7 linked regions of the Cricetulus griseus genome follow. The protein of the gene in region 5 interacts with the protein of the main gene of each other region in a pairwise test. Links are inferred from orthologs where the notes say so. Each region holds a gene or a part of one and is shown on either strand. Other genes may lie near its edges. The genes, in order: Mylip, Lrrc8e, Mapk9, Nmd3, Lnx2, Ptcd3 and Map2k5.

The links.
Region 1: the proteins of Lnx2 (region 5) and Mylip interact in binary tests that used the Homo sapiens proteins (3 or more experiments, as listed by UniProt). The link is inferred for Cricetulus griseus from reciprocal best matches to the Homo sapiens genes LNX2 and MYLIP.
Region 2: the proteins of Lnx2 (region 5) and Lrrc8e interact in a two-hybrid assay, tested with the Homo sapiens proteins (3 studies listed by BioGRID and IntAct). The link is inferred for Cricetulus griseus from reciprocal best matches to the Homo sapiens genes LNX2 and LRRC8E.
Region 3: the proteins of Lnx2 (region 5) and Mapk9 interact in binary tests that used the Homo sapiens proteins (3 or more experiments, as listed by UniProt). The link is inferred for Cricetulus griseus from reciprocal best matches to the Homo sapiens genes LNX2 and MAPK9.
Region 4: the proteins of Lnx2 (region 5) and Nmd3 interact in a two-hybrid assay, tested with the Homo sapiens proteins (3 studies listed by BioGRID and IntAct). The link is inferred for Cricetulus griseus from reciprocal best matches to the Homo sapiens genes LNX2 and NMD3.
Region 6: the proteins of Lnx2 (region 5) and Ptcd3 interact in binary tests that used the Homo sapiens proteins (3 or more experiments, as listed by UniProt). The link is inferred for Cricetulus griseus from reciprocal best matches to the Homo sapiens genes LNX2 and PTCD3.
Region 7: the proteins of Lnx2 (region 5) and Map2k5 interact in binary tests that used the Homo sapiens proteins (3 or more experiments, as listed by UniProt). The link is inferred for Cricetulus griseus from reciprocal best matches to the Homo sapiens genes LNX2 and MAP2K5.

The regions. Positions count from the first base shown.
Region 1 is NC_048596.1:265,108,527-265,112,489, reverse strand, and holds the start of Mylip (E3 ubiquitin-protein ligase MYLIP), read right to left. Parts: upstream 2,801-3,963; 5' UTR 2,660-2,800; coding exon 2,573-2,659; intron 2,559-2,572; exon of another isoform or gene 1,807-2,558; coding exon of another isoform or gene 1,774-1,806; intron 1,760-1,773; exon of another isoform or gene 1,577-1,759; intron 1,471-1,576; coding exon 1,280-1,470; intron 1,257-1,279; exon of another isoform or gene 1-1,256. UniProt on the Homo sapiens protein: E3 ubiquitin-protein ligase that mediates ubiquitination and subsequent proteasomal degradation of myosin regulatory light chain (MRLC), LDLR, VLDLR and LRP8. Activity depends on E2 enzymes of the UBE2D family.
Region 2 is NC_048597.1:89,034,213-89,038,448, reverse strand, and holds the start of Lrrc8e (volume-regulated anion channel subunit LRRC8E), read right to left. Parts: upstream 2,801-4,236; 5' UTR 2,700-2,800; intron 1-2,699. UniProt on the Homo sapiens protein: Non-essential component of the volume-regulated anion channel (VRAC, also named VSOAC channel), an anion channel required to maintain a constant cell volume in response to extracellular or intracellular osmotic changes.
Region 3 is NC_048600.1:64,345,896-64,349,395, reverse strand, and holds part of Mapk9 (mitogen-activated protein kinase 9), read right to left. Parts: intron 3,161-3,500; coding exon 3,036-3,160; intron 1,993-3,035; coding exon 1,929-1,992; intron 1,108-1,928; coding exon 1,039-1,107; intron 121-1,038; coding exon of another isoform or gene 116-120; coding exon 1-115. UniProt on the Homo sapiens protein: Serine/threonine-protein kinase involved in various processes such as cell proliferation, differentiation, migration, transformation and programmed cell death.
Region 4 is NW_023276806.1:83,373,919-83,378,048, forward strand, and holds the start of Nmd3 (60S ribosomal export protein NMD3), read right to left. Parts: upstream 2,801-4,130; 5' UTR 2,646-2,800; intron 2,384-2,645; 5' UTR 2,374-2,383; coding exon 2,330-2,373; intron 224-2,329; coding exon 89-223; intron 1-88. UniProt on the Homo sapiens protein: Acts as an adapter for the XPO1/CRM1-mediated export of the 60S ribosomal subunit.
Region 5 is NC_048597.1:82,876,975-82,880,474, forward strand, and holds part of Lnx2 (ligand of Numb protein X 2), read right to left. Parts: intron 3,018-3,500; coding exon 2,649-3,017; intron 1,395-2,648; coding exon 1,254-1,394; intron 649-1,253; coding exon 471-648; intron 1-470.
Region 6 is NC_048601.1:63,594,400-63,597,899, forward strand, and holds part of Ptcd3 (pentatricopeptide repeat domain-containing protein 3, mitochondrial), read right to left. Parts: intron 3,329-3,500; coding exon 3,241-3,328; intron 2,227-3,240; coding exon 2,166-2,226; intron 1,721-2,165; coding exon 1,635-1,720; intron 861-1,634; coding exon 716-860; intron 1-715. UniProt on the Homo sapiens protein: Mitochondrial RNA-binding protein that has a role in mitochondrial translation.
Region 7 is NC_048597.1:174,663,668-174,666,669, reverse strand, and holds the end of Map2k5 (dual specificity mitogen-activated protein kinase kinase 5), read left to right. Parts: intron 1-2,029; coding exon 2,030-2,152; 3' UTR 2,153-2,502; downstream 2,503-3,002. UniProt on the Homo sapiens protein: Acts as a scaffold for the formation of a ternary MAP3K2/MAP3K3-MAP3K5-MAPK7 signaling complex.

The sequences.
Region 1 (3,963 bases), on a different chromosome or scaffold from region 5:
GTGGGAGGAGGGAACCAACTCCTTAAAGTTGTTCTGTCACCTCCACAGGAATACAGATGTGTGTGCAAGCACAGGCATGTACACGTACACAGTGCATACACACATACAGAGTAAAAGTTTAAAGAAAGATAGAGCCTCTTGTGACTAACAGAGACAGCTCAGCATCTATAAGCATGCTATTGCATGAATATTCGTAAGGTATTTTCAGAAACACTAAAAATTCCTTATGCCAGTTTCCTTCATAAACAAGATCTCCCCCCACTTTTAAAGTTCCACAGCAAGACAAAGGGGATATTTCAAATCCAAACGAGTGGTATTTTAAAACGTTTCCACCGTTTGTCTGGCAAATAAACAAAACACAGTATGCTGAAACCTCTCCGAGGATCCTGTTCCCCGATTATGAGTTGAAATCTACAAGATCGCATTTTTCACATGCATGGCGCTTTTCCAAGCCACAGGAGGATGGGAAACATCAGTGCTGGGACCCACAGCTTGCTGTGGTTTTAAAAGCAATCATTTCCCTTTTTCAGTATGCCACTGTAAGTCTCTTGCATTTCAATAACAAATATTAAACATCACTTTTCTATTTTAGATCATCTTTGAGAAAAGGATAACAGCCAGTTGTGAGGGAAACACATTTTGTTGTTGTTGTTTGGTCGTTTAAAGAAGGAGACCACACACTTCAGTTTCTACCATGGCTGGTGGAACTTATTTTAACAAGGAGGGAAAAAAAATCTAATGCCCAACAATCATGTTTAATATAGCTGTAGGCTGGAGTTCAGTTACAGTGGCCTTCAAAGAGTTCTTTTATTAAGTTTTCATGAAACTTAAAAAAGTTTTAAAATCTGCAGGAGGCCAGACAGAGCACTCAGCTACACACTGTAATCTGACACTAGGCTGAAGACTGACCAAGTTTAAGTAACCCAAGAGGAACTGTTTCCTGCTTTCAGTTAGAACCGTCGACAATGACCTGTAGTAACACTGCTGAGGCGGGGTTACTAGCGGGCATTAGACATAGCTGTCAGGAAGTCAGTGTTGGGGGTTTTCTTTTTGTTTGTAAGAAGTCAACTCTGCTCTCCCATTAATAATATAGAGGCGTGTATAACCAAAACAAGAGTTGGAAAACCCACCCAGGCCAACTGTGCTTTCAACGGCAAATTTAAGTATTTCCTGAACTTCCTCTTCAGGAAGTCAAATTAGCCCGGGAACATCTCTGGAAGCCCCTCCTAGGTGGAATCAGAGGTGTACTTGACACTGGTTTATTTCCGCCTCACTTTACCTTGTCTGCTCCTGTAAGATGAGATGGGGCTCCACAAAGAACTTGACTCTCAGTTTGAGCCGGTAAGGTGCCAGCCCGTCCATCTGCTGGGAGATCCGGTTTCTCAAATTCAGCCATAAGCTTTCACCTTTGCTGCCGGTGAACTGCAGCCCAAAATAATCAACTTCTATGATCCCCAATCGCCTACACACCTAAAAACAAAACCAAAGGCAGAAGATATAGGCAATGCACACATAAGGGCTCCATCTGCGTGAAGGGCAGTCACCTACTTTGACCTTGTTATAATTCCAGTCCTACCGTGTTAACATTCCAGTGGTAGAATGGAAAAACAACGTTTTAAGGTACCAGCGATGCCAAAACACAGCGCTCCAAAGGAGCCTCGGCCTTGCTTGAATATTTCTAGGGTATGGCCAATTGCACAGGGTAAGGAGTCCCCTAAAACAGACTTCACAAAAGGCTGAGAAGGAAGAACCCAAGGGTATTTTATTTCTTACTCCAATCGCTGGAATTCCTTCCACCAGCACCATCTGCACAGCTGATCTGGCAGCTTATTATCTGGGCAGTTCTAACCATCTGGATTCCAAAAACACAAACACGTTGAGGAAGCATGCCACAAGTGTCAGCTAAGCTTCACAAGTGGCTTTCCAATCAGCTCAGGTCTACAGGTCCCGAAGGCACAGTGTTTCAGGGGGATCAAATGTGCCTGCCATATCCACCATGCAAATACTGTTCAGAGCCTTAGTCACTCTAAAGAAAACACACGTGTAAAGACCACAAGCAGGAGACTGCCAGAACCGTTCCCCGCAAATTACCAAGGATACTCTGGATCCCCAGCAAGCCCGGAGTGTCAGGTGAACTCTCTTTCGGAGAAGCAGCTAGAGACATGGGCCCACCTGATTAGCTAGGGAACCCCGGGGCCCGTGACTGTCTGCAGCCACCTCATCCCGGGACGCGGGTGGCGCTGCCGGGCTTTGCGAGGACCCCACGGGCGGCATCACGCACACACCTGCGGCAGGTGTGCCTGGTCACCTTATTTAGAGAAAAGTGCCGAGGTAAGGGACAGGGTTGCAGCTCCTGGCAGTGTCCGGGTTTCCAGGCCCGGGATCCCCCCCCACCGGACGCGTCCTCTATGCCCCCCACCCCCGCCGCCCGCGGGGAGGAGGCTGGAGCCTGGCGTCCGGGGCGCGCTCCACGGGCCGCTGCTGCAACGTCGCCCGGCTCCGGAGGACCATCCCCGAGGCCCCAGGCTTCCCGGGGACAAGTGGGGATCCCCTTTCCGATCGTCCCCCTCACCTGGTTGAGACAGTCCTCGCCGTTGGCTTTTGCCTCCACCTCCACCTCCATCAGCACTGCGTCCGGCCTCGTCACATAGCACAGCATGGCTGGGGCCGCCGCCACCGCCGCTTCTTCTCGGGTGTGCGCCGCGGCTGTCGCCTCACTGCAGTAGCTCTAAGTCGCCTCCGGGCTCCGCGAGGAAGGTGAAGCGGTGCGGCCGTCTGCCCTGCACCCCACGCACCCCACGCAGCCTCCTCTCGCGTCCCCGCCACCCCCCGCGGTCTCCCACTCCAGAGTGCTCCACGGCCGCGCCGCTCGGACAGCCCGACTGCTTGCTCCGAGACAGGCACGCGTCTTTTATAGCGGCCCCGCCCCCTCCGGCGCCGGCCTCCGCCAATCACGGCGTAGTTGCCCCTCCTCCCCAGCCCCGCCGGCCAATACGGAGCTCCGGCAGACTGGAGCCCCGCCTCCCGGCACCGCCTGTAGAGCTGCGGGAGGTGGGAGCCCCCACCCCCACGCCTGTACCGTCACAGCCTCTGCCGCTGGGCGACGCTCCTCCCAGCCCGCTGTCGCCTGCCGCTCCAAGGGACGCCTTTCTGTCCCTGCTCAAGAAAGAGGACCGTGATCAAACGCTCCCGCGATGCCACTGTTCTCACGACTCCCACTCCAACAACCAGGTGGTTTGTGAGAGCCCAGAGGGAAGCGGGCAAGCCGGAGCCTGAAGTTAAGACTTTTCGGCCGGGATTTGCCACTGAGGGTGGCAAAAACGCACAATTTGAGCAGGAAAGTTTTTGCAATTGACCAATAACAAGCTGGGTAGCTTGATCTTAAAAGCACCATTCTTACATAAACGCGTGCCAAGAGTTTTGAATGCAAGGGTTCTGCTAAACCGAAACACCTAGCGGAGTGCTGGGGCCTCCATTGCGTTACCCATTCTATCTAGGATCAAGTCACTCACTATCACCTGATACTTTCCCTGGGAGAGCCCGAAGTTACTCCATGTTAGAGGTAAAGGGCTCCTCTCAGGACCCAGCAGGGGTGGGGGTGGAGTTTAGTCTCAGTAGAAGAGATTAATGGTTAAAGGCCATGACTTCATTGCCTGTTTCTCTTAGCCTATACAATTACTTTGCCTGCCTCTTTGGTTTGTAACAGTGGTTCTCAACTTGTGGGTCGCAACCAGTTTGGGAGAGGGGGGTCTAATGACCCTTTCTTTCACAGGGGTTACCTAAGACCATCAAAAAACACAGATATTTACATTATGATTCATAACTGTCGAAAAATTACAGTTCTGAAGTAGCAACTTATGGTTGGGGGGTCACCACAACATGAGGAACATAAAGAGTCACAGCATTAAGAACTACTGATTTATAAGATAAGCCAGGAGATGTGGGTTTCAGCCTTGGGTCTTT
Region 2 (4,236 bases), about 6.2 Mb from region 5:
ACAAGACATACACACCATGTAGACAGACATACACACAATCAGAGGGAGACACAAGGATTATCATTGTCTGACCCCATGACTCAAACTCAATCTTCCAGAACCTGCCATTAAATTCTAGCAGGCAAATACAAGGCTGGCCCTTTCCCTATGTCTGGACAGAGCTGATGGGAGGGTTTAGCAGGAGGGACTCACAGAACTGGGGGCGGTGTAGAGAAAAATAGTAAGGGAGTCTTTTGTTGTGTTCAATGCTGATTTCTTTTGTTTATAAGGTTTTTTATTTTACGTCATGTATGCATGTGTGCAGGTGTATGCATGTGTGTGTGCCCAGTGGTTGATGTTAGGTATCTCTTACTGCTCTCCATCTTATTTATTAGCGTGAGTGGTGTGTGTGTGTGTGTGTGTGTGTGTGTGTGTGTGTGTGTGTGTGTGTAGACCAAGGAACAACTTTGTTGGATCAGTGCCCCCGCCCCAGACAGGGTTTCTCTGTGGCTTTGGAGGCTGCCTTGGAACTAGCTCTTGTAGACCAGGCTGGTCTCAAACTCACAAATATCTGCCTGCCTCTGATTCCTGGTGCTGGGACTAAAGGCATGCACCACCAACACCCAGCTTCAGTTCTCTCTTATCTTTATGTAGCCTCTGGTTATCAAAGGTGCTTGGGCTTGCTAAACTCGGCCCTTATCTTTTTTTTTTTTTTTTTTTTTTGACACGGTCTCTCACTGAAATCTGAGGCTCAGCATTTTAGCTGGACTGGCCCTGGAATCCACTAAAGTTACCGATGTGTACCACAGCGCCCTGCTTTTATGTGGGTGCAGGAGATCCAAACTCAGGTACTCATGCCTTCACAGCAAGCGCTTTATCCCTCAGCCACCGCCCAGTCCTCTCCCTTTCCTGATTGTTTTGGAGACAAGATCTTGCTATGTAGCTCAGGCTAGCCTTGTGCTGGCTGTGTAGCACAAGATGAACCCAAAGTTTCAATCCCCCTTCCTCAATCTCTTAAGTGCTGGGATTACAGAAGTGTGCCACCATGTTCAGCCTACTGCTGAATTTTATCCCAGTTTTGGAAATAAAAGTGTAGATGCCTTTGTCTTGGAGGATGAACATAACTCATTGAAGATTTCACTGTGTGTGTATCATTTGAGCCTGTCTAGCCAATGTCCCCCTCCTGTTTGATGGCACCAACTCTGTTCCATCCAATGAAGGCACCCCAATGGCTCAGTCAGTAAACAGCTTGCTGCACAAGCATGAGGACATAAGTGACATTCTAAGCATCCATGTAAAGTGGGCAGGGCAGCCTGCATCCATAATCCCAGCAGGGTGCGGTAAAATAGGTTGATCCCTGAGGACCACTGGCCACATAGTCTAGCCAAAATCCATGAACGTCGATTTAGTGAATAACGCCTCAAAAAATAAAGTGGAGAAACCACCGAGGAGGACACCCCAAATCAGTCTTTGGTCTGCACACACACCCACGCCCACAAGAGGTGTCCCAGAAGACCAGGCTTGGGAGGATCCTGCAAACTCCTTCCCACATCGAAGCCCTGCTTCTGCTGCTGAATGGATGAAGAGGATGCCCCAACCTCAGTCAGCCTCCCCAGCTGCATATCCCATGCTAAGGGGTGAGGGAAGATCAGCAGAGTTCTTTAACCTTTACCGTACAAAGTCAGAACTAGGGGTGTAGCTTAGCTGGTAAGATGCTGGCTCAGGCCTTGGGTTCAAGTCCCAGCTCCACATAAAACCTGGAATGGTGGCACACAATCCTGTAATCCTCCTTAGGATAGATGCAGGAGGACAGATAATACATCGAGGGCAGCCTAAGCTGCATAGAGAGTGAGCGTGTTAGAGTCAAGCCTGTATTTTATGACCTTGTCTCAAACAAACAAACGAACAAGAAAAACAACAACAGAAATCCAAAACCCCAAACCCAAATCACAGGGCTACTGCGGATGGCTCACTGGGCAAAGGCCCCTGCCACCAAGCCAGAAGACCTCCAACTCAGAGGCCCATAAGGCAGAAGGAGAGAACCAACTACTGCAAAATTGTCCTCTGATCTCTGTGTGAGTGTCACGCATGTGTGTATACACACAGACACACAAAATAAATAAATAAAGTAAAAAAAAAATAAACACGTAAAAAACCCAAAAGCTCAAAGTTCAGTTCCAAGGGAGATTTTTACAAGGGAGTTTTCTGAGGTAAGGAAAAGTCACCCCTAGTGGCAAGTCTTGGGGTGGGAGGGTTATGGACTCCTAGGCTAGCACTTTCCCAAGCTTAGTTTGCTGGGACGTGGAAGGGGTTTTGGAATCGTGAAGTGTAAGAACCTTAGGGAGCGGGTTGGTGAGATTAGGGTCTGCAGCTTTGAGGGCACTCCCTTTCTGTCTTTCTCATCTACCTCCAACCACCTCATGCTGGCACAGGCTGTAGAAATCAAAACTCCTGAAGTCGTTGCCTGCCTGTTGATTTCCCTTCCTTCGCTTGCTCCCAGGCTGCCTGTTCCCTGGCTCCTGGGGGCCAGGCTGAAGGTTACGGGACACCTCTCCCACTCCCAGCCCCAGCCCCCAGTGTGTGTGTGTGTGTGAGGGGGTGTTGCGCTCGCCCAGGCCACGGAGCCACCCACACCTGAGCGATCCTCCCCCTGGGCCATTCCCTGGTTCCAGGCTGATCTCCACCTGTGGGACGAAAGTCCCCCAACCCCAGCTACTTACCACTCAGGGATGGAACTCTGGGGCCCAACTAGTAGATCCCAGGGAATGGCTCGACCGGGACTCCCGCTGAGTTCCCGGGCGGGCGGGCGGGCCGGCCGGCTGTACAGGGTGAGTCAGGGAGGGCTGGGCCAGGAGCCGGGAGCCGCCCCGCTCCGCCCCGCCCCCGGGATGTCTCGGCGCTGCCTCGCTCCAGGTCGACCCCACTCCACGCCAAGCGATCGCGAGCAAGGCGAGAGATTCCCTAGTGAAGAGTCTTTAGAAGTCTGCAGTCTCGCTAAGTCCTGGCCTTGGGGGCAAACTGGTATCCTGCAGATGTACCATCTGGGCAGGTGTCGGTTCTGGGAAGCATTTCCTCCAATCCCTAAGCATTCCCACCTGGTACCAAAGCTCAATCGAGGCCCGAGGCCCGGGTAGTTTAGGCTTCGGGCAGGGGAAGACCAAGAGCAGAAGGCTATCCCTCTTCCAGAGCTGGCTTGCCATAAGGAGCTGTTCCCGGCCACAGGAAGCCACAGTGTGGGTACTAGTCTTCGGATCTCTACTTAGGCTTTTGGCCCATCCTGAAGGTTGGAGGGTTGGGGCAAGGACAAACTCTGTCCTCAGCCTGGGGTGTGACACGTGGTAGACATGGGTGTGCAGGGCCAGAGGGTTTAGGGAGGGAGGAGGGATGGGGGCTGGAACTACCTTCCCCTTCTCCCCCCATCTCTCCTCCTCAAACAACCCTCAAATTCTCCAGATAGGTGAGGATGCCCTTGAATTTCTGATCCTCCTGCCTCCAGCATCTGAGTTTCCACCGAGAGGATTACAGGAGGGTTTTCAGGCTGAGGGATTACAGGCTTGTGTCATCATGACACAGGTTTATGTCGTGCTGGGGATGGAATCTAGGTGCTGGGCAAGCACTCCATCAGATGAGTTGAATGGTCACCTCTGAGAGCCCCATTAAAAAACAAAACAACCAAACTCATCCTGGCTCACCACTATCACCACGGCTACCTAGGTCTCACCATCAGCAGCTAAGGGAGGCTTTAACTCCAGTCACAGACCATCAAATACTCCATCTGGAGGCAGCCAAGTTTGTGCCTTCATGTTCTCTCAGTGTGAAAAATACCTTCTCAATGGGAAACCTCCCACTTAGACTAATAAGTGGGAGAGAGAATGTGCCCTCCACCCAACCCATACACACACACACACACACACACACACACACACACACACACACACACACGCAGGAAGATGCACACACAGAGAGAAAAAGAATTTAGGAGCTGGAATTTAGGCACAGCAGTTAAGAGTGTGTACTGCTATTGCAGAGGACATCCTAGCACCCATGTCTGGTGACTCACAACCAACTGTAATTCTAGGGGATTTGACACCTTCTTCTGGCCTCTGTAGGTGCCTGCATTGATGTGCACATACTCTCCACAGACACTTGTGCATATACATAATTAAGTGAAAGAAACGTTTTTAAGAAAAATCCAACACTTGGGAGGAAGAGGCAGGTCCACACTGCTATGGGGTGTCCACCACAGAAGACTACAGA
Region 3 (3,500 bases), on a different chromosome or scaffold from region 5:
GAGGCATCGAGACTGCTGTCCGTGTCTGAGGCCAGTGTGTGCTCAGTGGACATGGACGAGATGTCATTGATGGATGAAGACTGTGAAGGGGTGGCCTTGCTGCTTACTGCTGCATCTGTGCTAAGAGAACCAAATGGAATAAAACCTGAGGCATGGGGCTCCAGGCTACTTCCTGACTCTGCTTTGCAGTTTCCTGGTTGTAATGATCAACAGAACCAAGAAACTTGTCTACTATACTTTTGAGCTACTGGAATTTTTCCTTAGCCCTTCTTTGGTTCAATTTCCAAACAGTCTTGGCTTTCCCTACAATGTTCTCTTTTTTTTCCTGTGCACCATGTGTATGTGATCATGTATGATCATGTTGATTACTGAAAAAGATATACCCACTGACTTCAAACAGACCTTAAAGGAAATGGATGAATTTATACTACAATTACCACAGGAGGCTTAGGCCTGAGTGGGGTTCAAATGTTATGGGACATTTAATTTACAACAGGCACACCTCATCTACAGAAAAAAAGCATCAGGATTCAAGAAAATCTTTTGTGATAAAAATGCCTTCTGAAATATACACCCCAAAAAGGAAAAGGCTAGTGCCTGCTATGAATTTTATTTTTGTTTAATGATTCTAAAAACTGTTATTTTAACTTCAAAGGTAAATAAAGCTACCCTATTTCCTACTACCCATGTGTTAGTGTGGTTTGAGCAAAAATAAAACATGCAGGATCTTAGGTCTGCACAAACGTCCATCTTTTTCTAAACTGCATGGGATCAGTGCAAACAGGACCACATTTTAAAAGTCTTCAAATCCAATCTCTTGCTCTCTAAACAGCTGACAGCAGCTGCTGCAAGTCACAACAGCAATGTCTCAAATGCAGTTAGTTAGGGCCTGCCACCTCAAAAGAGTGACTGCATTAGGACACGAAAGAAGGTAGCTACATCACACCAGGGTGGTCCAAGTGGCATTAACACATCATTGCCATTTATAAACATTGAACAGCCAAAATATTAGACAACAAAATTAAAGCAATCACTAACCTGAAGGCTGGTCCTTTACACCATTCTTGCTTCTTTCTTCCCAGTCCATCACTTCTTTATAAATTAGTTCTTCAAAGAGAAACAGAAGATGCTCTGTTGTTTCCCCTGCACCTGAACTCTGCCTCCACACCCCTGGAGCTACCCAAGGGCACCAGAATTTCTCAACTTCCTTTGGCTATCACATAAGTTATTAGGGGTTCACATTCTCATACTGCAAGCATACACTGTGAGCATTGCCATGATGAGTATGTACATGTGTGGGCCACTGACATGCCAGTGTGGAAAGTCTATCATCAATGTTGGCCTGTACTGACTACGGCCCTTAGTCTCTAATGGCCCTGCTTCTGAATGAAAACTTTCAAGTTGTTTCTTTGTTAACCACTTTAGTTCACTGTGGCTGTGTGGTTCATCTTAAAGGTACCTTCTTGCCTATTTTTGGTAATTTCCTTCAAACCAGCTTTTAAAACATAAAACTATATGGCTTAATAGACAAAGACATGTCCTACAGCTGGGCTTCCCCATATCTGTTTAGACAGGCATCTTTGTAGGGAATATGTAGCCTGTACATTGGGTTGGCTCCACCAACTCCCATGCTATCAAAATGAGTGTAACACACTTACTGATGTCAAGGCCACACATCAGTATACGATAATGGAAAATCACATGGAAAGTCCTTGGGTTTCACCTGAAGCAAATTATGATGTCACATATGTTCTATTCTAACACTGCTAGAGTTACACTCTTCCTCAGTGGGAAGTGGGGAGAGAGGAAATTGGGGCTTCTGGGGTCTCAAGGTCCTTTCCAGGAGTCTGGTATCAAAAAATAGTGACAGTTAAGTTCTATAGGACTATGAGAATGGCATAAGTAAAGATCAAAACGCGTGGTTTTACCTTTCCATTCTTCAATTGCATGCTCTCTTTCTTCTAACTGGGCATCATAAATTTGAGGTGGTGGCTGAAAATTAAATATCATGTCAGGTGAATAGCTCAAAACTAGTGGGGCATGATGGGCAGATAGCACTACTTAGAATGTTTTGAATCTATTTATAACATGGATTTAGCTTAATTAACATGTTGCGCAATTTTTTGTAAGCATAATATATTTTATCAGTTTAAAAAATCAAACAATTAGATTTAACCAAAGGAAAGCTATAATAATAATAATAAATAATAAACCTCAATAATCATATGACCTCAAAACGCTCTGCAGACACAGCCCAAAGGAAATTACAAAATTAATAACCATAGGCAGCTTGATGTTCCCAGGAATAAGGCTGTGAGGGAGCTAAATGAGGTGTAGTACTTTCTTAGAGCACACTTCAGCTTATAATTCTTTATATCACAGGACACCCATGCCCAAGCCACAAGCTGATGAATAGAAGATTCTACAACTGGCTGTTCATAAATCCAATTCTTTTGATATAACATAATGTTAAAATGGCAGTCAAAGCTAGACCCAGGACACAGCGGTGTGTTCCACAGTTGGCATGAAGTAAATGCCCCACTGTGTTATAATTTTACTCATAGCTAAGATTCATTCACACAAATGATGCTATGAAAAAACATATGAGAGAATCAGATGCCTAGATGTGGTAGGAAGGTGTGAGCTAGTGCGTCACTTGGGAAGGCTACTTAGCCTCTCTGATTTGAAGGCCTGAATAAGATGTAAGCAAAGTCCAAGGCCTACTGCCAGGTATGAAGCAAATGCTTCATGATTATTACATATCAGCTTTATAAACATAAAGATAACTAGACTACCACAGCACACTCATGTGCACTCCTGAGTACTTAACTCTGTAGCTGTAGCCTCAGCAGCATGTATCCCCCAGGGGTTCAATAGTACTTGTTCTAGTTTTGAAGTCAGGGCCCAAAAATCAACAATCTGCTATCCTCATGTAGCCGTCCTGGACTACTACATGAGAAAAGTTCCAAAGACGGTAGGCCTTGGTTATAAAATTGAGCCCTCTATACAGACGTCTTTTCCAAACAAACACTTACCGCTTCTGCTTCAGCAGGGTCATACCAAACAGTAATATATGGGTGACGCAAGGCTTCATCCACGGAGATCCGCTTGTCGGGATCAATCACTAACATTTTCGATAACAGATCTCTGGCTTGACTTGCTAGAGTGCAAACAAATGACATATTTACATTGCTACCACGGAAAAAAGGAAACAACACAATAAAGATCCAAATGTGAATATACCGACTTCAAGAAATGTTTAAGGGGTTCAAGATCACAGCTTTCAACCTTTAAAAGTCCAATGGCCACCGTCACAGACCAGGCTTTTAGCATGGGAGATGGAAGCAGCAGAGGTGGCAGCCTCAGACCAGTGTCCAGATGACCTAATGCTAAGCGGCACAGGAGACAAGACAGCAAGCACCTCTTTAGGGTGGTGTTGCCAGGAGCATGGACGTGAAGCACCAGGAGTATTTTTCTGTCACAGTAGAACAATGTAAAAA
Region 4 (4,130 bases), on a different chromosome or scaffold from region 5:
TACTTTGGTGTAATCCCAGCACATCCCAGTGGCTCTCTGTATGAATATCAACTTAAGAAAGCTAAACAAGTAACATACAGTACCATACCTTTGACACTGTTTGCAGAAAGAAATGGAGACCTGCTTTGGAACACCTTGGCTGATGTCAACTTTACTTCTCAAACAAGCCACACAAACGTTGGCAGGATTTGGGCTAATTGGAACACCACACTCACAGCACAAGCTTGAGAAGATAAGTATAAAAATTTTCCAATTAGATTTTATAAATTCACTAGGCAAAAAAACACATACATACATACATACATACATACATACATACACACACACACACACACACACACACACACACACACCCCCACCCACCACCACCCACCCTCCTCCCTCCTCCCTCCTCCTCCCTCCCTCCATCCATCCATCAAATCAAAGACCTGGAAACAGTTTTTAGCACCCAAGTGGCAGCTTACAACCAACTATAACTCCAGTTCCAAGAGATTCAACCCTTATTCTTCTGATCTCTGTGGGATCCTGAATGTACATGGCACACACACATATACACTCATGCACACACATGTAAAACAACTTTTAAAGCCAAAATAGGACAAGCTGAGCATGGTGGGAAACCCCTTTAAAATTAACAACCAGGAAGCAGGGAACACAGTTCTGTGAGTCCCAGGTCACCCAGGACTACACAATGAGACTCTGTCTCAAATTAAGACAGGAAAAAAAAAAAAAAAAAAAAAAAAGCAATCTTAAAGAGTGAAGAAGAGCCCTGGAACATTGACCCAAAAAAATAAGGAGGCTGCAACTGCAGGGAACCCCTTTAAAAGACAGATCCCTGCCCATTTGCACTCTCTCTACACTTCTCCTCTTCTCTGTCTACTTCTGCTTCTCTTCTCTCTCTCCCTCTCTATGGTGACCAGCCATGGTGGTCAGCCATTTACACTGTTTCTCTTCTCTCTTACTCTCCTTACTCTGCCAGGCCTATAATAAACTGGTTAATATGTCTAATATGTCTCATCCTGTGTCTCATCTTGCGCCTTCCTCCTCCTCCTCTTCTTTATCTTTAATTTAAACAAAAATCTGACAATGGCACTGTGCAACAGAACTTCATGCAATGACAGATATATTCTAGTCATTCATCATCCCTTCTTTAAAATTGGAAAACTAAGGAAAAAAGAGATTAACAAGGAAAATAGTGTAACATCAATGGTAAAAACTGAAGCAGATCCCATGTGAACAAAAAGTAAGACAGCCCAGTGTGATGGTGCACACCTTTAGGCCCAGCCCTTAGGAAGCAGAGGCAGGCAGATCTCTGAGTTCTAGGACAGGTGGGGCTTAACATGGTGAGACTGTTTCAAAAAGCAAAACTAAACAAGGAAACAACCAAAACAAGCAACATGTAAGTGCAGTTTCTCTTTAATCTTCTAAACACTACCCTGTGTAGGTCACATCCGACCAGATGCCTTTGTTCAGAGCACTATCTCCACGACATTAGGAACAGTTCAGTTACTGGGACCCACGGTAAAAGATAAGGTATGTATAACATGAAAACAGAAAGGTTATTAGGGGGAGAAAAGGGATCAGTGGGAGGCGGGAGACAGTGAAGCACAGCAGTAGGGTAAATATGAGCACTGTACAATGTTAAATATATGTATACTCATACATATGTATACATAAAAATGTCATAATGAAACGCATTAACTTTTACGTTAAAATTAATCTTAAAAAGAAAAACCGACTACAGGGCAGGATCGATATCTGCTGAAGCTCTAGACAGAAGTATAACTCTATAGTGTACTGGAAGCAGAAAAATTTTGTGAACTGGGCTTGACATAACCTCAGCACTGGGGAGGCTAAGGCTGGAGGGCCAGGCTCCCAATGTCAGTCTTGGCTACAGGGTGAATTTCATGCGGAGTTGGGGCTACACTGCAGGACTCTATTTGAAGTAGATTTGAAAAAAAAAAAAAAAGTTTGTGAACCATTGACACTGTTGCCCAAAAGAAAAATATAATAAACTTCCAGCGGTAGCCACTAGTTTTATGTGGCTACTGAGTTCTCAGTGTGTGGCTCGTGTGTTGGAGGAACTGAGTTATGAACTCAAAACATCCGTATGTGCGGTGCCTCTCTGGCAGGTCGTCTAGGATGAAGCATGCATGTTCTAGATCGAACTTAGAAATGAACTGAATCAATTAAAATGAATTAGATTTCCTAAGGGATTAAGACTTGATTTTTTTTTCCAACTGAGAAAAGGGCTTCTGCCGCTCAAAGTTTTCCAGGGCTCATTTCACGATCTGCAAACTAAGGAAGGAGAGGGAGGCTCGCGACTCACATGTGTCCGGGGCTGCGATCAACCGATTCTGTCATATACTCCATCGTTCCGGACCTATTAAAGGAAGGGAGGGACCGATGAGCAGCCTTACGTCCCGTGGCGTCGGCCGTGCAGGTCGGGCCCCGGGTGGGTGGCTTCGGAGGCGTCCTCCACACACGACCTCAGGCCGCGCGCGGCCCCGCGTGGAGCCGGCCTCCGCACCGCCCTGCCCCGCCGCACCCACGCGGTCCGCTCGCGGCCGGGGTGCAGGGCCCGGCCCGCTCCCTCCACGGGCCAGTGCGGGCGCCAGGAGACGGATCGCGACCCCAGAACCTACCAGCTCCTGCGTGGCAAGGGGAAGGGCAAGATACCGGCAGCCCGCCAGGCCGGGACTCCCTGCCAGTTGCCTCAGCGGGCCAACGCCACTGGGAATGTCTCGCGATAGCAGGACCGGAAGTTCCGTGTTCAAAACGACTCCGGTGAAAGGGGAGGGTGGGCGGGTCAAAGGTAAGGTACACGTGTAGCAAAGGGCGGGGCCTATGGAGGTAGCGGGTCATGAGAGGCGGGGCGAGCTGAGCAGGCAGGGAGCTCTGGTCACCGCTGCTGGGGTTGTGTAGTCCTCCCTCTGCTTTTCACCCTTCCCATACCCTGAAGATGCTCTATATAGGACCTGGAGAGATGGCTCACCGACTATAAGCCAATTGTTCTTACCTGGGTTCAATTTCCAGCACCCACGAGGTGGGTTCAGCCACCCACAGTTCTAGTTCTAGAGGATCTGATGCGGTGGTGCACATATGGTCATCCAGGCAAAACACTCATATACATAGGATAGATAAACCTTTCTAAAAATTGCCCAATATGAATATCACCGTAGATAGCCTAAGCATATCAAATCACTGTTTACTAAACAACAAAAAATAAAAATCTGATAACGTTCTCCTAGATTACATTGTACTTTTTTAATGATAAGCAGAAAAAACTGAAATGTTTTTCACCAAAGGAAATTATTCTTAAAGAAATAATCCGGACATGTTTTTTCTGAGAAGCGAATTCACAAAATAGATGAAAATAGATATGTAAGCAACAGTTACAATGTGGTTTCAGAAACTGGTGTCAAAAGGAGATCCTAATATTTCTAAGAAACTTAAATTTACTTTCTTTTGAGTGTTTCGCCTGCATGTGTGTCTGTACTAAATGCACGTCTAATGCCAGAGGAGATCAGAAGGAGACAACTGGTTGTGAACCACTTTGTGGGTACAGGAAACAGAAGCCATGTCTTCTTAACCTCTGAGCCATCTCTCAAGCCCCAATAAAGATATTTTCACCTATGCAAAGTGTGCTGGATAGCTTTATGTCAATTTGACACAAGCTAAAGTCATCTGAGAGGAGGGAACCGCAATAAAAAAAAAAAAAAAAAAAAAAAAAGCTTCCATAAGACTGAGCTGTAGACAAGCCTGTAGGGCATTTTCTTAATTAGTGATTGGTGGAGGAGGGCTCAGCCCATTGTGGGTGGTGCCATCCCTGGGCTGGAGGTCCTGGGTTCCATAAGAAAACAGGCTAAGCAAGTCACCAGGAGCAAGCCTGTAAGCAGCACCCCTCCATGGCCTCTACATCAGCTCCTGACTCCAAGTTCCTGCCCTGCTTGTCCTGACTTCCTTGATGATGAACTGTGACATAGCAACGTAAGCAGAAAAAAAAACATTTTCTCCCTAACTTGCTTTTGGTCATGGTGTTTCATCAAAGCAAGAGTAACCCTAACAATGACACGAAGTTACATCCTTCTGAAGATGTTAATAAAAGAAATAAACTAAGAAAACAGAAA
Region 5 (3,500 bases):
AAAATCAAGTTTGTCCTCGGCTACTTCCTCTTGTCTTCTGCACACTCGAATGGCATCTTCATGAGATGATTTTTCAAAGCCTTGTCTCCTTCTACCTCGAGGTCCAGGGATAGAGCTCGGGCATCAGGCTTGGGCAGCAGGTAGGTGCTTCTACCTGCTCAGCATCACACAGATCCTGGACACTTTATCATAATCAATGCTGTATTTCAGTGAGAAGGCCTTTAATATCATCTGCCATAAGCTGGATCTCTTCTAAGATAAACATATAAGCCAAGAGTTTGGGCAACTGCAGGGTCTCGAACCATCATCAGGGTTAACTTTCCCAACCTTACAGAAAAATATTATGTTTTCTGTACAATGACACTTTATTTTAAAAAGTCATGTTTAACCTGAAACACAGTAATTACTCTTAAAAATGTGACCTAAATTCTGAGATGAGACATGGCAGATCTTCCAAGACCCTGTCTTACCTCTCTTGATTCTGCCGTCTCGTGCAAGGCAGCCGTGGGGTGGCACGCTGGTCACAAAGATGGGCAGCTCACCACTCTTGCTCCCTCTGCCACCAGCAACTGTCATTCCAAGGGACTCATGTGGCTCCTTCTTTACAGTGATATGCTTCTCCTGGCATGTGACACACTGAGTGAGATCCTACACAGTGAAAAAAGAAAAGTCTTGGGTAATTAACAACATGCAGCTGAGGTAAAAACAGGCTCAACAAGGTGACAGGTTCAGTGCCAGTTATAAAGGGATTTTATATTTTTTTCTCCTTACTGAGGACTGAAAATAGTCCATAGCTCTTTGTTTTTGAGACAGGGTTTCACGATGCAGTCCTGGCTGTGCTGGAAATCACTCTGTAGGTCAGGCTGTCTTGGAACTCATGGAGATCCGCCTGCCTCTGCCTCCTGAGTGCTGGGATTAAAAGTGTGCTACTACACCCGGTCAGTAGATGGGGATTTTAACACCATAACAACACATGCTATCCATGTGCCTGTCAAAGCTTATGATGTCAGTATTCACACAGCTAATTCCATCCCTGTAGATGACACGCCTAACTGCTAACCATGGACTTAATCATGTTTTCATGTTGCATTTCTAACTGTAAAACCAGTGATAACATTTAAACAAGCAGCCCGAGAAGAACAGACTTCCACAGAGCACTAAGCTGTAGAGGATCACTTCTTGTCAAGAAACTCACAGGCTGTAACAGTGGTCCTGAGAGGGTGGCATGAATTGAAGGATAGGAGCGTCCTCACCTTGTGTGAGCTTGGTCGGCTATGAGAGGGTGGCTGTGCATGCTGCTGGCTGATGCTGTGTGCTCCTGCTTCACGGGTGCCATTGCTGGGCTGGGCCTTCCCGGGTCTGGCAATTGTCAAATTCACCCTCTCTCCGCTGGCCTGGAGAAGACACATTCATCACTACCCATCACAAACGATGTTTGTGGCTTAGAGATCTTAGTGGAACTCCACTCCTTTCTCCTCATCAAGGAAGGTTCTCATTAAGTAACACAGGCTAGAGGCTCCTGTCTCAGCCCCATGAATGCTACAAATATACACTGCCTGGGAACACTAACTTTCTATGTATTTCTTAGTCACTGTGCCAAAGCCTCATTTGGGCAGTCACTACCTGGCAGCAGGAAGGTCATAGGCTAATATTTTCAAACCACTCATACACACACACACACACACACACACACACACACACACACACACCTTTCAGAGTTAAACTATTTGGAGGCTTGTGCTCTGCGTTTTAAACATAAAGGTTCACAAATGTGTTACACTTAAGGTCATGTTCACGCTCTTAAAGTACATCCTACTTACCCGATGCTTCTTCCCTTTCATCACCACAAACCTCCAACTTTACTATTCTCCTACAGAAGCTGACAGCTTGCTTTAAGGAACTGTGAGAGGATGTAGGAACCTTCCCTGTGACTAAAATTCACAGAGGGTAAAGGCACTCACTGCCACACCCGATGAGCTAAGTTCAATCCCTGGGGCCTCCACAGGGGAAGAAGAAAGCTAGATACAGCAAATTGTCCTCTGATCTCCACATGATCACACACACACACACAATAGTAAATTTCGTAATTTTTGGCTCTTCAGTTGGAAAGTAAGTGAGAGACAACTTTAATACTATAATTAATCATTTGCCACGCCAGTACATCTCCAGGGTCCAATAGGCAAATGCTGAGGTGACAATTAGAATCCGGACATTTACAGCCTCGATGGCTCTGATGACTATACCATCCTATGGGAAGTATCAATGGCTACTTGGGATTGTCTAACTAATACACTCACTGTCATTACTGTTAACACCTGAGAGCCCTAAATCAGTACTTCAACTTTCCTTAAAAACCATTCGGACAAGCTTACTGGTTGAAGTAAACCCTTGCTCTCTTGAAAGATGTAAAGCTGCAGTGCCTACACTGTACAAACAGAAGCCCCAAAGTACATGGGGACACAGGTTTTAGGAAAACAAACAGTCAACAACTACACCTAAACAAACACAGTTCTATTTGGGGAAGTTATATATAGTAGTATGGATTTTGAGGATTTTATGTAACCATGTATGACTTTCCAAAGAAACACTGATGGTCCTGGAATTCTTATGTGTGACTGATGACCCAGACTCAGTTGTGTGGCGTCTACCTGAATGATCTGGGCAGCGAGCTCTGGGGTCCCATGCTTCAGGTCGTGTCCGTTGATGGCCAGTACCCGGTCATTGCTGTTGAGCCTGCCGTCCTGCGCTGCCAGCCCCCCTTCCAGAAGGTCAAGAATAAAAACGCCTGGCTCATCTGTCCTTCGGACTAATTTAATCCCCAGCTGCTCTGCCGAGTCTCGTTTGTGAAGCAGCACTTGGAAGACCTCGTCCCGAGATGCGCTGCTGTCTGCATGGCTGTTTGCTCGGCTGCCGAAGCGCCTCTCGCGCAGCACGGTGAGATGCAGCATGCTGCAAGGCTGGGAAAGCACGGCCCGGGCATAGTTATGGGACACGTTGCTGATATCATAGTTGTTGACCTAAAACAACAAATGGACAAACAACTCCTGTGACCAATGCATGACAAAATTTATTTTCCTAACTTGCAGAAATGTCTAGATGACAACTCCAAAGGAAACCAATATGGAGAAAATGCCAGAGGATCCCATACCTAAAAGAAAACCATTCTAAAGACTTCCACAGCATAGAATTTTAAAATAAACTAATGGCACAGTGTTGAGGAGTAGTTAGGAACATGGGCGTTGACATTAGTCTTTGGTTCTGCTAGTTACTGATACCCTAGGGGACAGGGCACTCATCCAGTGCCTGCTCCTCTGGGTCTGACTCTATGTCACAGGACCAGGGTGGGAGGGAGCAGGCCTCATCAGGCCAGGGCAAGTCTGCAACTAGCACAGCTCTAGTGGCCTGCAGGCTCAAGTTCTGCTGGATTTCAAAGCTGCTTTCCCTAATGAAACACACTTACAACAGACAAAATAAATCGCTTTATTTCTTAAGAAGTTGCA
Region 6 (3,500 bases), on a different chromosome or scaffold from region 5:
GTTTCTCTGTATTGCTTTGGAGCCTGTCCTGGAACTTGCTCTGTAGATCACGCTGGCCTAGTGCTAGGATAAAAGCCAAACGCTACCACTGCCCAGCTTGCCTAACTATTCTTAAATTAAGCAATTACTAAATTATTCACAATATAAAGTGGCACATAATTTGGGTCACAATATTTAATTATGCTAGAACAATGTCCTGAAATTTAAAACAGGCCAAAAAAGCAATCAACTCCCTTTAAAATTAAGAGAATTACAGAAAAAGTATTTCAAATGTTAAATAACAATAATATCTACTGTAAAGAACATGAAGTGATAAAGTATTCCTGTCATAGCGGACAGTTATCACTTGGTATCCATGGCACGTGAATATAAATGGAATTATATGCACATAACCCACACACATCCTACTGTATACTTCAAAGCATTTCTAGATCCAAAACCTGATATGCCACAAATGCAACCCCAATACTTGTGTTGTTTAGTAATGGCCAATACAAGTGTAGACATATTTACAATTATTTTTACCTAACATTTTTTTATCTGGGGTTGTTTGCAGAGATAGATACAAAGAACCAACTTCATGTGAAGTTACAAATGCCACAAGGAAACCCTAACAGTAAAGCAATAGTAAAAATATAAACACTTCTGGCTTTTGTGGTTGAGACCAAAAGTCAGCACACCTCATCTTCAGAGAGGAGCCAGGATGCATTCTTACCTATTCCAAGGTATTTCATTTCACGTAATGTCTGTAAGGCTGGGAGCCTTCCATGCATATAAAACTTCCGGAGACACTTCAGCACAGCATTAAAAGTCTGAAGGTTTGGTTTCACCTTCTGTGCAACCATATGTTTCAGCAGATCCTAAGAAACAGGAAATTTTTTTTTTTTACTCCAAGGTAATTTGCCAAAACTACTGAAATAATTTAGTTCTGTGGCTACATATGAAAAAAATTAGCACCCATACTCTAATTTAGTAACTATCTGCTTAAAAAAACCTGAACAACCGGGTTTGGAAGCCCATCGTTAATCCCAGTACTTGAGATTCAGAGGCAAGGGATCTCGGTGAGTTGAAAACCAGCCTGGATTTACATATCAGGTTCCAGACTCGTAAAGGCTGGACAGTGAGACGTTTTCTGAAAGAAAACCAACAAAACCAAAAAGGGACAAAGAACTATCTACCAGGGATCCCATCTTCCAGAAAGTCTCCTTACACTGTCATGGATCAAGGTTATCTTTGTCTCCCCAAATCCTATCATGCACCACAGGCAATCAAGGTGTTTATCTGTAGTCTTCTACCAAATTGAGACTAAAATAGAAGCGCCCATGGTATGTAAAAACACGTTCTAAGTTTTGACAAAATCTCTCCAGTGATTTCAATTTAACTTCGCTGGCTAGAATTCTATAATAGGTATGTACTTTTGTAATTAACAATGAAATCAATTATACATTAAGTGTCCCAACTCTTCCTGAATCCTTGCTATGTAATAATTGATTAATCAGTGTTTTGTTTTTTCCCCCATAATAGAGAGGCTTCTTAAGCTAGGGCAGAGTACTGAGCAGTTGCCACCACATAAATGATAAATTAATATTTCATAGTCAAAGGTGGGTAGAAGACAATAAAGGTTGTTTCCTTACCAGTATATTATTCCATTTTTCCTCAAATTTCTCACTGGCTATCAACATTTTAGCTTCAATCAATGCATTGAAGGTATATACATCAGCTGTAAAAGAAAAATACTTTAACAAAACTTGAGGTTGAAAATTTACCTGAAAACAGCTGAGGTGAAGAGAAAATGATCATAGAACTAGCTCTCTGGTCCCATTTTAATCACTAGTATGGCAACAAAAGTTGAAAAATCTAAACAACAACCCCCCAAACAATAACTGTGGCCCAATAACTGAGACAACTTCCAAAAACCTAACTGATTCTTGTTAGAACAGTGGTTCTCAACCAGTGGGTGCACACCAGGTATCCTGCATATCAGACATTTACAGTATGACTCACCACACTAGCAAAATTACAGTTATGAAGTAGCAACAAAATAATTTTATGGTTGGGGGGGTCACCACGACATGAGGAACTGTATTAAAGGTTAACAGCATTAGGAAGGTTGGAAACCACTGAGTTGAGGGAATACACAGGTGGAAGCCAGTCCCCAGACTCACCATGAAGTCTGTTATTTAATAACTCGGTGTACAAGTTCAGTGCTTGTGCATAAGCTCGGTGCTGGAGAGGAAAAAGCAACATCATCAAAGTGTTCTCAATTTGGAATGTGAACACACAAAACAGGAGCCTCCAATTCTCAGAAGCTCGTACCCTAGTGTAGTAAGTTTCTTCCAGAGGGCATTAGCAATGCTTAGACATTTTCAGTCATCACAACTGAGAGTGAAGCAAGAGCATGTAACTCACATCTAATGAGTAGAAATGGGGTGGCGGCAAGGTGGGAGACAACATCTCACAACACAAAGGGAAGCTTCCAACCCTCTTATCGTCAAGGAGGAAGTGACTGACTCAGCCTTTAAGAGTGCTTGGTGCTCGATCACAAGGTCTAGAGTTCTTATTCCCACACCCATGTCAGGTGGCTCATAAATAAATGCAGTAACTGGCTCCAAGGGATCAACACCCTCTATTACCCAATGTAGGCACACAACGGAAGCGCGCACATGCACATACACACTCCTTCATACACTTAAGACACAGACAGATGCACACATACATGAATAAAGAAAAAAAAAACTCACAAAACTATAATAAAGGTCATTCATCCCTAATCCAAAATTTGAAATGCCTCCAAGCTAAAAAATTTAGAGGGCTGATATAAAGTCATGAATAGGACCTCATTTAATAGGTTACAAGACAGAGCATAGACTCACAAAGGTATTACATAAAATGATCATGTTAAGTGCTGTAGTTTATGCCCATGTTCCCAATTACTCCAGAGAATACAGTGGGAAGAAATGTTGAATCTAAAGGCACTCTAAGAAAAAAAAGTTTTTGCTAGCTATTGGAGCACCTTTAATGACAAGGCAGACGCAGACAAATTGCTGTGAACTTAAGCCTTGTCTCCCTAACGGCCTAGCCAGCTGACCTACAAACTGAGACCCTGAGGTAGAACTATTTTCATTATTTGCATAAAAATTGAATGATGCAAATAGACATCATGCTCAGAACCGACCCCACCCCCAAATATATTATTCATCCAACGTAATAGACCTTCAAGATAAAAATAAAGGAAGATACCTTCACCATCCCTTGGATCATTGTACAGTAGGAGCGTGCATTCTTCTCGGGTATCAGAGCAAAGATTCTCTCAGCATTGTTTTGTGCTCTAGAAACAACAGAATAAACATGAATCAGAGGCACTGGGAAAATTAGTAGTAATTGCCATTTTTTCACATAACCATTCTACAACCCAGAGTTTGACAGGGTTATCATCTCAAAAATGGAGGGTCAAAGATCTGAAGTTGTCTGGACATGAATAACTCAGGGTCCCTGGGTAA
Region 7 (3,002 bases), about 92 Mb from region 5:
TGCCTGTTCTCAGACAGATGATAACCGTGATGGAGCATATGGCCCCAAAGTCACCCGGCATTCTGGGAGAGTGACACTGTGTTACCCTGGGCTTGGGGGGAGGGGCCCATCCTCCTGAGCACAGCTTCTGTCTTTGTTCTTCAGAAGGGTACAAGGTCGCCTCTCCCAAGTCCAGAAAAGAACATGTACGGGAATTCAAGGATGTTCTCTATTTAGGCAGCCATTGTGAAAGCAGGCAGAGGCTGGGCAAGTATGAGCAGGGAAGCTTATGGAAGCCAAAACGGAGTGCCTCTCATCTCACCCCACACAGGCCTGTGCCGCCCACAATCCCCCACCAGCCTGGCTTCTGTTCCCCTTTCTTGGGGTCCTACACTCATGTCTGAAACCCCCACAGTATGCCATGAGGAATAATTGGGTACCCAGCTAGGCTTTAGGCATAGCCCTGGGCCCTCAACTGGACACAAGCTCCAAAGACTTTTTGTTTTGTTTTGTTTGTTGCTGTTGTTTTCCCACAAACAGCCAGGCTGGAGAGGCCTGGGTAGCATTCCTTCCTTCCCATTCCCCAAGCTCCACCTGGTCCTCTGCAGATCCTGGTAGATATAGGGCCAGGACACAGTATAGCCACATAGCCATGGGACAGAAGATGTGGTGAGGTTGTTGCTGGCACTGAGATGCCTACCATGTTCCCAGGACCTGGCTATTTGCCAGGGTCACAAGTCACAGGTACACTGGGAAAGTAGCTCAAAGCCTTGTGGACCAACAGAGACAGTCAGAGAGAGGCTCAGAAAAGCCAGGATGCAAGGAGGAGGCACCTGGAAGGGGAGAGAATCAGGAGCTTGGGGGTGGGCATCAAGGATCCCTCATCTCCCTGCTCACTCTCTGTAACTCCCCAGGGCTTGTTTTCCATGGAGGCTACCAAGTTTCTGCTGAAAGTCTTTGGTTAAGGTAGCTACTTGGTGAACTGAGTATCGCTTTCCATTCCGGTTCCCACTGTGGCTCTGACAGCCCTGTGGCTTGTCCTTGATTGCTTCTGGCCCTCCCTGGAAATCCCCAGACACCCTGAGATTGGGGATGTCGATCTTAGTGTATCAGAAGAGAGGGGAGGATGCTGGCTAAATATAACCTGACCTGGCCGGGGGCTTAAGTAGGTTAGAACAGGAGATGAACCACATGGAAACAGAGCTGGGCCCTCCAAAGTGCAGCCCTCTGCCCTGAACCACCACTCCCCTCAGCACTCCTCTTGCCGGCCACATCCTCCTGGCAGGTGGTATCTGTGCTTCCTCAGCAGACTGAGTCACTTACAGGGGGGCAGGAGACAAAGGAGGAAACTAACAGGGATTGACAACGCCTCTGACAAGATGATCCTTTGCTCTCTGGGCAGCAACTGGACCGGAAAGCTGGCCGCCCAGGGGCCAGGCCTTGGCCTAGTGGCTATGGCATGAAACTGAGCTGGAAAAGGAGCGGGCAGAGCGTGGAGTTAAGACTAAGATGTGCCTTTCAGCTTCCCAGGCAAGGTCTCAGATGCTTCCCCGCTTCCTCTGCATAGATCAGAGGACAGTTTTCTAGACTGAGTTCTCCACTAACACCATGTGGGGTCCAGAGATCAAGGCGGTCATCCAGGCTGCCTCCAAGCACTGTTATCTGCTGAGACATCTCAAGATTCTAGCCTGCCTTCTTACCATGTGGGGTTACTGGAAAAAAAAAAGAAATCAGGTCCAGACTTGAACACACCTTGGAATGAACACTGAGATGCCTGGCTGTCTTTTTGTTTGATCTGTCTATTGCTCTATCTTTTTATAACAAGGTCTTAAGTAGCTCAGGCTAGCTGTGGATGATCTTGAACTGCTGATCCTCTCATCTCTGCCTCTCGGGTTCAGGGGTTACAGCCACATACCAGCATACCTGGTTTATATGGTGCTGGAGACCAAACCCAGGGCTTTGGATTAAGCTAGGCAAGTGTCTACCAACTGTCCTTGGCAGCAGGCACCCAGCTTGGGACTGCCATCACACCTACTGTTCTTCCCCACAGGGTCACCCGTTCATCGTGCAGTTCAATGATGGAAACTCCACCGTGGTGTCCATGTGGGTATGCAGAGCACTAGAGGAGAGGCGGAGCCAGCAGGGGCCCCGTGAGGCCTCAGTGGGACACTGACTACCCAGGGCCAGTCACCAAGGACACAACAAGCTGCGACCCGCTCTGTCTGCTGCCTGATTGGGAAGAGCTGCACTGGGCCCAGCCTCCTCCTTTCACCTCCTACCCTACCTAGGGAGCCCTCAAGAGACCCAGCCTCTGCTGAATCCTGGACCCCTGGGGGGTGGGGGCAGTAATGAATGTGGCAGGTGGAGGTGGTGCAGAAGGGGTAGAGGGAGGGGGAGGGGGGTTTTAAGGATGGCACCTCTTCTTGCCTCAGCCCCTTATGTTTCCCTACTGTTCATTGTAAAGGGTCAGACCCTATCGGCAGCACTGGTGAGAGAGTAAAAGTGTTACTGCTTTGGACCGGGTTTGTTTCCACAAGTCTGTCATTCACATCCCCATTTTCCAGGGACACCTGCAAGATCCTGTGCGTTTCCTGTAGCTCGATGTTGAGGCCCATGCCCCAGCTCAGTTGTCACATGAGAAACCAGGGCTCAGAGGTGCCTGCACCAAGTCCCACAGCAAGGTGTACTGAGGTCAGGTCCAAACCCCAAGCCTCGTGGTGTAGTCCTCTCCTGGTCTGGAGCTAGCTACAGGCCCAGCAACAAACTAGCACCAACACTGGTGTGGCCAGGGGCATCTGAGAAGGAAACTGAACATCAAGAGTGAGGTGCAGGAATTCAGAGGCCTTCAAACCTTCCTCACACCAGCCACCAGGCCCTCTCACCGCCTGTGACCCAGGCCACTCGTGGCCACTTCAAGTAATCCTGCAGCCACCTGGAGGAAGTGTGGCTGTCCTCCTTTTGCAGCAGATTGAGGGAAACACTGAGAAGCCAGTTGCCACCTGGTCTAAGAGACACCCCCGCAT